Linked DNA regions of Drosophila melanogaster. The protein of the gene in region 3 interacts with the protein of the main gene of each other region in a pairwise test. Each region holds a gene or a part of one and is shown on either strand. Other genes may lie near its edges.

What was found. Proteins that work in one complex are often made in the same cells at the same time.
Region 1: the proteins of Spt-I (region 3) and Cht7 interact in a two-hybrid assay, tested with the Drosophila melanogaster proteins (one large-scale study listed by BioGRID).
Region 2: the proteins of Spt-I (region 3) and TotB interact in a two-hybrid assay, tested with the Drosophila melanogaster proteins (one large-scale study listed by BioGRID).

What each region holds. Positions count from the first base shown.
Region 1 is NT_037436.4:3,103,948-3,108,966, reverse strand, and holds the start of Cht7 (chitinase 7), read left to right. Parts: upstream 1-2,008; 5' UTR 2,009-2,290; coding exon 2,291-2,293; intron 2,294-5,019.
Region 2 is NT_033777.3:20,872,325-20,875,033, reverse strand, and holds TotB (turandot B), read right to left. Parts: upstream 1,097-2,709; 5' UTR 1,057-1,096; coding exon 1,034-1,056; intron 975-1,033; coding exon 581-974; 3' UTR 512-580; downstream 1-511. Other genes in the region: TotC (turandot C), read right to left, coding at 1,550-1,916, 1,980-2,002. UniProt on the Drosophila melanogaster protein: A humoral factor that may play a role in stress tolerance.
Region 3 is NT_033778.4:13,166,862-13,171,267, reverse strand, and holds Spt-I (serine palmitoyltransferase subunit I), read right to left. Parts: upstream 2,771-4,406; 5' UTR 2,698-2,770; exon of another isoform or gene 2,454-2,697; 5' UTR 2,428-2,453; coding exon 2,380-2,427; exon of another isoform or gene 2,318-2,379; coding exon 1,818-2,317; exon of another isoform or gene 1,762-1,817; coding exon 1,434-1,761; exon of another isoform or gene 1,379-1,433; coding exon 1,013-1,378; intron 961-1,012; exon of another isoform or gene 952-960; coding exon 787-951; 3' UTR 524-786; downstream 1-523.

The DNA of each region.
Region 1 (5,019 bases), on a different chromosome or scaffold from region 3:
GAAAACAAAAGACTTAAGGCACGAACTTGCTGGAGTGAAGGTTAAGTCGTTCGATTTGATATTCAATCGGTATAACGAATTCGAAAGCCATGCCAATGCACTCGTCGAAAAGGTCCCACCTGAACCGCATAGATAATGGGTATTTGCCATTCGAATAGATTCCTTCTTCCTGGCTCTCGCTTTTTGGCTTTCGGTTTTATGTACTTTTGTGCATCCGATGTGAAACCTGGCCCCCTTGCGAAACAGAGCATCGTATGGAAGAGTTTTCTTGGGGAAAACTGGCACACAGAATTGCAAAAAGCAAAAGCCGCTGCAAACATCAAATGGCAAATGGCACGCAATGGAATGGGCATAAAAATGCACGCAATTAAGTCGGCCAAATGATTTACAGTGAAAGGCGGTGAAATTTATGGCATGCAAAGCGTGAGAAGACTCTTCAGCCGATCAAAAGATCTCCAGGAACTGTAAGACCAGAACTTTGGAAAAAAAAACCGACTCCAATGTGGGGACTTTCGCTTTCATAGGAACGCAATTTGTCGACGCTGGCTCGTTGATTTGTGGAGGGGGGTGTGGCCAGGTCAGGGATTGGAGTTGAAATTGGACGGGTTCCGCTTATGAAACCCCTTCACAGAAACCCATATGCTAATTAGCCTCCGCTGCCTCCTGCTTTCTATCGTGTGAAACGTCAGCCAAGTGTTATGCGCAGCGTATTTTGTAAATCATATTTCGAATTTACATTTAACGCAGTCGCAGATGGAGATGGAAATGGAGATGGGGATGAGGATCAGGTCGGAGACATTTGGCTGACGGCTCTTGGCCGTTTGTCTTTATGCTAATCAAACATGTTTGTTTACAAAATCCCAATCGGATAACAAATGGTGGCTACCAACCGCCCCCAGTGGGTGGGTGGGGGAGTCAACTAGTTTTACACGGCTTAGTTATCGAACAAACGGTGCTAACCTATATTAATTTGTTTTTAAAGCTTTTGATATTAATTTTTCAAATAAATAACGATTTCTAAGCGCCTTAATCCTCTTTAAATTGGTTTATATTTTAGAGATATTACTCAATGTGTAAGGAAAATAGTAGACAGATTTAAATGCCAGTTTATAGGTCTATGTGAGCAGAACTTGATGGCGTGGTCCTAACAAACTTTATTTTACTTTCTAAATGGCCACAAATTCCAGTAAAGTCTTTATAATACGCAATTTTCTGTAATAAAATGGCACAATAAATGAAGCAGTTTTAAAATAAATTATCAAAGAAACTGAAATTGCCTAAATCTGTGATTATAAGTACCCAAATCAAACCGGTTGAATGTGGTTCGATTGAACGCGAATTGAAAGGCAATCGATGGCCGGCGGATATGGTCTAGTCCACCAAATCCACTGTTAACCCTCTGTTGCCAACTAACAGTGGTGAACGAAAGAGCCGAGCAAAGGCAACGCAGCAAATTTAATTTTCCATGCAGCTCACAGCGCGGGCTGCAAACCGAAAACTGTTTTTATGCTGCCGCTGCTGCTACTGCCCCATTGCTTTGTTGTTGGACTGCGCGTATATGGCGTCGTACGTGGCGGACCTGAAACTGAAGCTCAGCCGTTGTCAAACACAAAACACCAAACACCAAAGCAACAAAAACCGAAAAAAACCCTGCTCAATCCGGGGGCCAAACTAAGCTTAGCTATACTCTCCGCTGCTACAATACATTCAATGCACTGAGGCAAATATTGCAAAATTTTACAAAAATATCGTTCAATGTTTTTGGAAATATTTGTAGATATTAGATAATATTAATTTTTTGGATTATTTGTACTGCTGTTCATCTAAGAAAAAGAATTTAATTTGGCCATTCAGCTGGAAGGTCCTACTGCCTACCACAACCCTATTGATGGCCATTAAAAAGATTTTGTAGACACTAATATTTTCTCCCAGTGTCTACGCCGACGTCGCTGCCGTGGCCGTTGTTGTCGTCGCCTTGTCTTCGCAGCTGGCGGCGGCAGCGCTCGAATCAGTTTCAGTTTTTCAGTCCAACGTGCGAGTTCGAAGCGACAAGCGGTCCACTTCGCCTTTCTGGGGGCCAGGATTTTTGAAAGTGACTAGTGACTAGTGGCAAAATATGTGCGGTTAGCCACGACAGTTTGCAGTGTCTCGAAAGCCACAACACACCTAAAAACGCAATCCAATCGAATCCGAATCGAGTCCAGATCAATCCAATCTAATACCGACTGCCCGCTCAAGGAGAATCGATTTTGTAGTTTGTGGATACGCGGCGCGGAGTCGAGCTTTGAAAATGGTGAGTGCAAATGTGTGTCAGAGGCATGGAGCTATGGAAATTATCATATCCACAACAGACCCCAACACAGCCCCCTTGGGTTGCCAGAACCAAAAGCATGCCAAAGAATATTGAAAGTCCGTTGACGCAACGGAAAAACGAATGTTAAACAGCAGAAACTCCATGGCAGTTGGAGAACGTAAACTAAGAATGCACAGCGAAAAAAACAAGACAATGCTGCATAAACATAACATAAAACAATGATAGGCAGAAAACAATCAAAGAAATATTATAGACAATTCCAAGATATTTTAGAAAACACTTGATTGTTATTCTTGTTATGCTAATTGTTAAGTTTGCTTTAATTAACCAGCTAACACGTTCTCCGCACAGCTAGGAAATCGTTCAAAATTCTTTTCCTGTGTAAGACTTTATCGCTGAATGGCTGAGTGTGAGAAAAAGCAACAGCAACAACGACAACGGGTTCTGTACCGCTACTGACCGACCGAAGTTGAAGGCGAACTTGTCAAAGACAATGAATAAAATGAGCGCTGAGGGGCTAAACAAAAAAAAAAAATAAATAAAAAAAAGAGTGTAAAGTGGGGGGCTAGAAGTTGGTGGGGGGTTTCAGTTTCGCTTTCGTAGCTGAAAGCCCGTCCGAGAAAAGGGGAAAATGTCCGTAGTCGCAGTCTTCAATTGGCCAATTGGCAACGGCTTTTACTTCCTCGGCCGTTTGAGGCGAAAAGCGAAAAACGAAAAGCCAGCTAGCCGAAAGATTTCCATTATGGCCGCAGCAGGCGGCACGCCTCAATTTGCCAGCAAAATCAGCGGTATAGGCAGCAAGTAAAAGTTGCACAGGCGCACAACAATGGCAAAAACAATAACTAGTTTTGTTTTACAACAATTAATATTTGCAAAGGAAAAAATAAAAAGAAAAAATACCTATAACTCGCCGCTGTCGATTGGCAAATAGTTGGCAAAGCAAAGCAACATAAAAAAAAACTGGTCTCAAAAAAGGAAAACTGCAAAAATTTGGTTCGAAACGGAGTCTCGAAAACAGTGGAAAAGCAAAAGGCAATCGGAGAGTCCAAATCAAATGCGAACTCTGCTGGCTTTATAAATTAAACATTTTATTTTATGGTCTTTCGCTAGCCGCACAATGCAACCGATCGGACATACGAGCTCCATTATATTTCTGTGAACGAGCGTATAATGTGGAGCAGGTCGAAATTTAAGCATTTCGAAAATGAAAACGAAAAACGAAAAACAATAAGAAATGCTAATTGCCCAAGTTTTCATTGTCTCCGTGATAGGTTTTCGCATTAGTTATGGCACTGAAAATATACATTTTATGTGCTAAGAAATGTTTCCCAATGGAAAAATATCAAACGGTCTCCAAAAACTAACTAGCTTCTTAAGACAATTTAAACTGCTTAATTCGAGCTTTTTCCTAATTATAATTATCATTTATGGCAATATTCATCAAGTCTTTCGCTTTTTATAATTACCAAAACATTTATGTAATGTGGAGCAGGTCAAAACTAAATCGCTTGAAAGAAAGAAAACTCGAAAATGTTAATTGCCAGCCGGGCCAAAGTTTTCATTGCCTCTGTGCACTTTCGCGGCATTTTGGCGTTAGTTAATAACTCTCTTTCGTGCCGCCCCTTTTCTTGTTGCCACGCCCATCGACTTGACACGCGCTATTGACAGCAGTGACTGACATGTGCAGTAAGTTGGAAATGTATCTGCAAAACTCCCGTCGTATCTGTAGCTGTTCATGTTTCTACGAGTGTATCTGAAACTCTCACTTTCGTTTGAAATGCCACTGCCGGCGCTGACAATTGAATGAAAACACTTGCAGAGAATTTTGTTTGCAAAACAAACCATTGAAATGGCAAGACGGCGAGCTTACCCATGTTTACATTCGAAAAACCCCAAAGAAAAGTAAATACCAAACGAAAAAAAAAATCAGAGCTTAGTGGAAAAGGAGGTTGGGGGCAGACAATATAATTGCACAGCGACAGACTTTCTCCCTTACAGAAAACAGAAAACAAGCAACGCATTTTTCTCTACGCTCTTGTCGTATTATTTTTTTATTATTGTGACGGAAGTTGCTAATGCGGTACGATTGGGCGTATACGTAATGCGAGTGCCAACGATTACGAGGGTCCTGCCTTGCCAGATTTTGTAACCGATCGCGCAATTAGAGTGTAGAAAATAGAAGAAGATGCAAGTAGGCGAATTGGGTAACAGGAATGCTTATCTTTTGATTTGTATTACCAAATTTAGTTTTTTTATTAAAAAAGCAAAGAAAAAACATATTCCCCTTCAAAGTTCTGACATTTTTTTAGCTGTCCCTGAAGCTGTGACTTTTGAAGCGATATAATCATTTTAATAGTATTTTAAGCTTGACTTTACATAAATGAAAGACATTTAAATGTTTTATTGTTAGACTAGACAATGCAACTTTAGTTTCTATGAAATGTGAATATAATGTGCCAGAAAATGCCAGGCACTCAAAACTCAGCCACGACTCATAGCTCAAACAGCGTCAAGTAGCTGGGGCATAATTGCAGGCCAGGCCAAGCATTCCGACTACGGCCAATAATATCTTGGCTCAAAAGCGTGGCCAAAAGTGCCTGGCAACACGACGTTCTCGATTCTTGGCTGTCGGCTTCTTGGCAATCACTTTTTGCCCAGCCCTGACAGCCAGCTGCAACTGGGTTTTGTTTGGCTTTTGCATCGGG
Region 2 (2,709 bases), on a different chromosome or scaffold from region 3:
TGTCCTGTGGCAGCCGGAGACGCCCACACTACGCAGAAGGTCCCTGTCAGACGCTTTCGACACTTGCATGTTAATTACTTTCCACATGCCCTGTTTCGACTAGACAATCAAAAACTTTCGTCGGCCGAAAACGAGTTTGTGGTATTCTACACAAAAAGTGTTTTACCCACAAATAATAATTGCAATCGCTTTCTCGAACAACATGCTTCCACAATTCAGTTTTGTTTGGGTGTTGATTGAATTCAAAACAAACTTTGGTCAGATTGAATGAACAAAGTTCGCCCTGCACTTTGTCTGAATTTTTAAATCAACCTCTTACAATCTAATATGAGTGCATATTTTTTACAAGGTTATGGATAAAATGCTGGGCAGAAGATATGAATATGCAATTTATGGAAATTTTCTATCTGATTAAGTAATCATGTACAGGTGGATGTTCACAATTTCCATTACAATGGATGCGTATTAACTAATTCACCTTCTGGGAATAAAATACGGCATTTATGATAGTCTCTTTCAATGCTTTCACTTTCACTTTCAGTGGGGAATTGATTTTATTACAAAAAAGATGTCTACGATTTCAATGGTTTCGTTCTGTGTTAGCTGGAAACCAGCTAGTTAATATGCTTGCAAGACTTGCACCGAGTTCGGTAAAGAATCCAGTTGCCACGCTCTTTGCCGCCGGAGACAGAATCTTCTTAAAGATCCTTCTAGCACCACCTTGACTGGGTACTCCATCGACCATGATTTCTCCCGTATATCCACTTATGAATCTGTCCATTCTCGCCCTTTCATCTGGTCTTAAGCTAGGAGCCATGCGATTGTATATGGTAAGTAGTTCCTGGATTCTTTTGATTTTGGTATTGTCGTCCCAGGAGGTTCGCATAATTTCAGCAACCCTACGACTGTCACGTTGACGTTCTTGATTGGAATAGGCCGAGCATAGAGTTCCAATCAGTAGCAGTGCGAAACAGCTGAAAATTTAGTTAGAAATAATAAGTTCAATTGTAATAAAATACGAAACGCCACTTACATCAAAGACGTTTTAAAATTCATTTTGTAAGGACTTAATGGAATGCAAGTGCAAGCCGAACTGACAATCCTGAAGCCAAGACACACAATTTATAGACACCGATGGCTCCCTGATAACGAATATAGAAGCATCTTCTGAACAATCCAATCACTTTTAACAATGAAATTTATTCTTAGTAAATTGTTTTAAATTGTTTTATATGGATTTTCTTGTATTCTTGTAATCATGACCATTACGCAGCTGTACATATGCATATACTACAAAAGAGTTTATCTACTGCAAACAACAATTTTATTGTGTGTTGAGTTGAAATGTGTTATCGAAAATATATCCCTTGACCGCTTACACCAATATTTTATGAACTTTGAATGTAAAATTCAAAATGGCGAAAAGAAAATAACAAAAATACTACTCAATTTTAAGAATCATCTTCTCAAACTGGAATATTTTATTTGGACTTGAGCTTACAACATGTTTATCTAATGTTTCTCAAAATCCCTTAGTCCTGAATGGTGATTATCCAGTAAAGAGCCTGGAAAGGCTGCCACCGAGTTCTTCAAAGAATCCAACTGCAAGGCCTTGTGCCACTGGAGATAGGATTTTTCCGACGTACTTGGTCTTTCGCCCCCCCTGACTCGGAACTCCATCGATTAGAATTTCATCAGTATGCTCCTGAATGGATCTTTCAATCTTTTCCCTTTGTTCAGGGGACAACGTGGGAGTCAGGCGCCTAAAGATATCGAGCAGCTCTTGGGTTCGATTGATCTTCGATTCGGCGTCGTTGGAGGTTCGAATAATTTCTGCAACCCTAAGGCTGTCAGATTCCCTTTCCTCGTCAGAATAGCCCAAGCAAAAAGGACTAATCAGGAGCAGGGCAAGGCATCTAGTTAGTTGCCCAAGAAATGTTATTAAGTTTTAAGTATTTTTTAAAGTAATCAATACTTACAGTAGAGAAATGGAGGCATTCATTTTGTTAATAACCCTAGTAGAGCACTGGTTTAAGACAAACTGATACTTTGGCAGCCCAGCGAGCGGAATATATAGGCCAGCGAAAGGTAAAATTGATGAGGGAATGCGCATTTAGAAAAATTAACTTATCAGCAAATAACCAGCACACTGCATTAGAGCCCAATGCTTTTACATTTTTCATAATTTCTCGAGAATTTTCATTATCAACAGTGATTAGAAATTAAATCAAATTAATTAAATACGGCTTACACAGCAACATTTAACAAAATCCCGCATATACGTAAATGTTGTTAAATGAAAAATCTAGTCTTACAACTTTCTCAGAATTGGCAACTATCAATGCTGATAAGAACATCATCTGTATTTTGTGATACGCATACATTCAACGCTAAATCTCATTATATAATATTCCTTTAAATAAGAATTGATAAGTCAAAACAAATATTGACACATTTTCGCGGAATTTCATGTTATCACAAAGCTTCCACCGACATTACAACAATAACATAAATGCAATTCTCTTAGTAAAAATGATTTATTTTAATAAAATCAGAAAGAAGACAAGAGGAAGTGCAATAGACAAATTCCTCAACTTTGACATAGCGATTGAAAATATGAAATCATTTTTCAAAAGTGAAGTTATGACTGATTTTGGCGGTATGTAATGTATATCAAAAGAAATTTGCAAGACAATCCGAATTACGATC
Region 3 (4,406 bases):
TAATTGCATGTTTTTGTCGCCAAATGTTGCGTATTCGCACTGATAGCACCGCACCCAAGTTCATAGTACGTATACGCTCAATTGGCGCTGATTGCCGGCTGGCATATCGGCATCGAAATCAGAGCGCTATGTGCACAACATCATGATTTGGGGTCGTCGTTGTCAAGTTCATCAGTGAATCGAATGCACAAACATGGGTTTGAAAGTCGAAGGGTTATGATTATTGCTCACAGATTAGGTCGCCACTCGGAAACAGCTCTGCTCCACTGGCAATCAAATCGTTTCAAAGCATTTCCATTCCATCTGGCTTATTCCACATATTAGTTATTATTAAGCGTGTGATGTGTATCTTAATTGTCATGCAAGAAAAACATAAATAAATAATGAATGTTTCTTTGTGGAAGTTGTTCTTGTAAATTTTACAACAAATGCCACATAATATTACCCTTATCTTTATCGGGATATTCAAAAACGTTTGCGATTGCGCAGGCGATAAGAAACACCAATAAAAGGGCACGTAACTACCAAATAAACTTAATAGTTTTATTTAACCAGCTCTGTTATCTATAACGTGTAATCTTTGAAAGTTTTCCTAGACTTAAAATTTTTCATTAAAATGCAATGCAACAAAGTGCAAAGAGCAAGTGCAAGGCTAGCTATTAACTTAAACAATTCATACTGGACTGGTCGTGAAGAAGTGATGAAAAAATGATGGGGCCAGCAGGCCTTAAAACTTAACAGCAAGGCCATTGTCGAAAGAAGATCATTCCTTTCCAACAACAAGGCTTATAGGACGGAGCTGGAAACACTCTCGATGACCTCAAACGCATTGTCTATTTCCGAACTCTCCAGCAAACGGTTGACAGCAATGCGAATGCTGGGACGGACTGGTTGGCGTTCCCTGTTCTGCAGGTAGGCAGCCTGTACCACAGCCACTCCACGAGCAATGCACTGGGAAAAGTGAGTAGAAATGTATAGTTTTCATAATTGCATGGGGAAATAAAATGCCTACCTTATCAGCCAGCTCTGTTAGAAGTTTCAGTTCCTTGTCAAAGTTCTCGGCGGGCTGGGCAAGATACAAGTGCTTCACTGGTGACACCTCATCGCCGCGCAGGGTTAGCTTGCTGAATCGCAAAAACTTCTGGTGCAACGTCTTAGACTTTGCCTGCAGCTGCTCGAAGATTTGTGGTTCTCGTTCGAAACGATCCAACGCTGAAATAGCCGCCTGGGTGAGCATGGGCGGCAGCGAGGCCGAGAAGATGTAGCCCAAGCCAGAGAGGCGCTGGTGCTCGGCTATGAAGTGCGAGCCAACACAGAAGCCACCGACTGTTGCCATCGAACCCTCCATGCCGGCCGATATCAGATCGACTTCATCACGCTAAAAGAAAAATACCAGTTATAATTTTAGTTTTTCTTTCCGGTTTACCACCTACATCGACATTAAAGTGCTCCGTAACTCCGTGACCACCCTGGCCCAATGTGCCAAAGGAGATGCTTTCGTCGATGAACAAACGCAGCTTGTACTTCTGACGCAAGGCCACCAGGTCGGGAAGTGGGCAAATCTCGCCCGTATTCATATAGATACCCTCGGCGACGAGGAAGCGACGTGTCTTAGCCGCCTTTTTCGGATTTTTCTGGTCTCGTTTTTCTTGCTCAATCAGCAGACGTTCTAGATCCTCAACGTCATTGTGCTTAAAGAAAACGATTGTGCTTCGTGAAGCATCCAGACCCTTCTGAATGGCAAAGTTGACAGCCTCATCCCTACAAATAACAAGTAATTAGTCGCCAATCTGAGTAGGTGAAGTAGACAATCCTACACAAAGATAAGGTCGCCACGTTTGGCATACGCCGGAATGGCACTGGCCACGGTCGAGAAGCCGTAGGAATAGACAATGGCCTCCTCCAGGCCCATGAACTTGGCAATACGATCCTCCAGGTCCAGATGCACGTCCATAGTGCCGTAGAAGCCCCGAGGTCCGCAAGATCCAACTCCGTACTTGCGCAGCGACTTGCAGGCCTCCTCCAGTATCTCCTGGTCCTCGAGGAAGCCAAGATAGTTGTGAGAGCCAAGATTTAGGCAGTCGTGTCCATCGACCTGGATGCGCTTGCCCACCCTGGACTGCACAACGCGGGTGTGCAGCAGGGGATGATTGGGATCGGTGTCGGCCACCAAGGGCTCTGGTTCATAGTCGGCGATTATTCGGTCTTCCTCCTCCTTGGTCAGCTGTCGGCGACGACCTCCTCCTCGTCTGTGGAGCAGCAACCAAATCACGGTTATGAGCAGTAGGGTCTCCAAGACGAGAGCAAACGTGGGGGTCTGTGGAAGGAGTAGAAACTGGAGTAAGCTAAATGTGGTGAAAAAGGCGAATGCAAACTTACGTTTCGGAAAATACTGCCGATTTCGTTGAACAATTGGATGGCCACCATTTTGACAGTCTGGTTCCGTGCCCTTTCTGTGAAAAATCAATTGAAACCGCCTTAATTCCCTGAAGTTATGTGTCATCTAGCCGACGCTTTCTTATCGCGGGTATGCCCCATACATATGTAGAATTGAAGCATTCGACCATACGGTACGGAAATCTTTTCAATTGGGTGTGTATGCTGACATAGGCTAATTGCCAGTGGGCGAAAAATGTGCAACCACGCCCTTCTCCAACATTCTCTTACATTAAATATCCATTTAAATCGAGCACTCACCACAAAACTCAGTTAACTATAGGCAAAATGCGTGAAATATCCGCCGAAACAGATGGATGAACGAATGTACTAAAAAATACCAATACGCGGATATCTTTAAGATGTGCGCCAAATTGGCGGCGATGGAGGAACAGTGGAATATGGAACTAGGGGACGTTTTTATTTATTTTTTGTTATTCAAAAACCTGGTCCTGTCGACCTGTCCCGCCCACCTGCCCCACCGACCTGTCCCGCCGATCTGACCCACCGACCTGTTCCGCTGACGTGTCCCACTGACCTGTCCCACCGAGCTGACTCGCTAACAACAAAATACAACAAGTTACAACAGATTTTAAATTTTTATTAAAAATTACCTAGATTTTATCAATATTTTTATGATACTGAACTCAAATAAACTTGCTACGTAACGGTTCTTTTCTAGTTATCATTTCAAATATATGATCGATTACTATTTTATATCGATAGGCAGAGCAGCGATCGCAGTGTGACCGTGCGGTGGGAAATAACGAAATCGAATTCAATTCAAACCGCCGATCCATTCAGTTTCCATTGAACTGCTGCTGCGATCGGTCAACCGATGTGAATGAGCCGCGTTACTGGCGCCATCTGAAATTCGAGTTCGCGAGATAAAAACCGCGAGAAGACAAAGAACACCGCAAAAAGCCGATGTAAACAAAGAGATATAGTTAGTTCTGCATTTTGCAAGAAAACTTTATCACATTACACGCGAATCGAAACGGATACTTGTATGTGCACAAAGTGAAATCAGCTGGACAACAAGAGTATTTTGCAATTGCCTTGGTTTATTTTCAGCCACTTGCGGCTGTCGTTTTCTGTGAAATTAACACTTTTTTCTATTGGCAGTGATGGGAAGTGTATATTTGGGTGTACCTGGCTGGTAGTCTAGATACAACAATTTACGCTATGTGTCGCGATCTAGTCTAGGTACAAGTATTCACTCTTCCTTGCAAATGTCCTTGTTTTAATATATAGTAAATTCTATTGCATTTCATATAATTATTTACTATTTACCTATATCACTATTCAATTAGACCCAAGGAAATACTTCTTTCAAAGTCACGATTGTATTTAAAATATACATAATCATTTTTATCAAGTTCCATTTCGTCTTAAATTACAATATTATTAAATAATTGCCAACTGATACTGATGAACTATACTATGTAGCTACCAATCAAAGTACCTTTCACATCACTATCTATCAATCAAATAGTTATAGTTAGCATTGCCCATGCGATAATGGCAAACCGAAATAGCGCAAAGAAAAGCCACTTCCTATTTCTCTTGAACTTGATGCGCTCGAATGAAGCTACCATGTCTACACCATGCCCACTTTCGCAGATAAATCGAGCAATGCACCCGACTAACTCCATGACACAATTGATGCATCCCAGCGCAGTATTTCCTCGATTAGGTATTTTCGCTTTTACCCGCTTTTTGCAATGCGCAATAAGTATCTCTTGGTGTGTGCGAAAATCGGTGGAGCAACCAGTTTTCGAGCTGCATTTTGACGTTGGCTTTTCTTTTACGTAACTCGCTGGCCGGGCACGAGCCAAAAACCAAAATAAATATCAATAATAAACACGGCGCCGCGCCAACCCAGTTAGTGGTTTTCACTTCACTTCACCTCACATCACATCACTTTACTTCTTCTTCTTTGCGGGACCTACCAATTCGGTCCGGCTTGC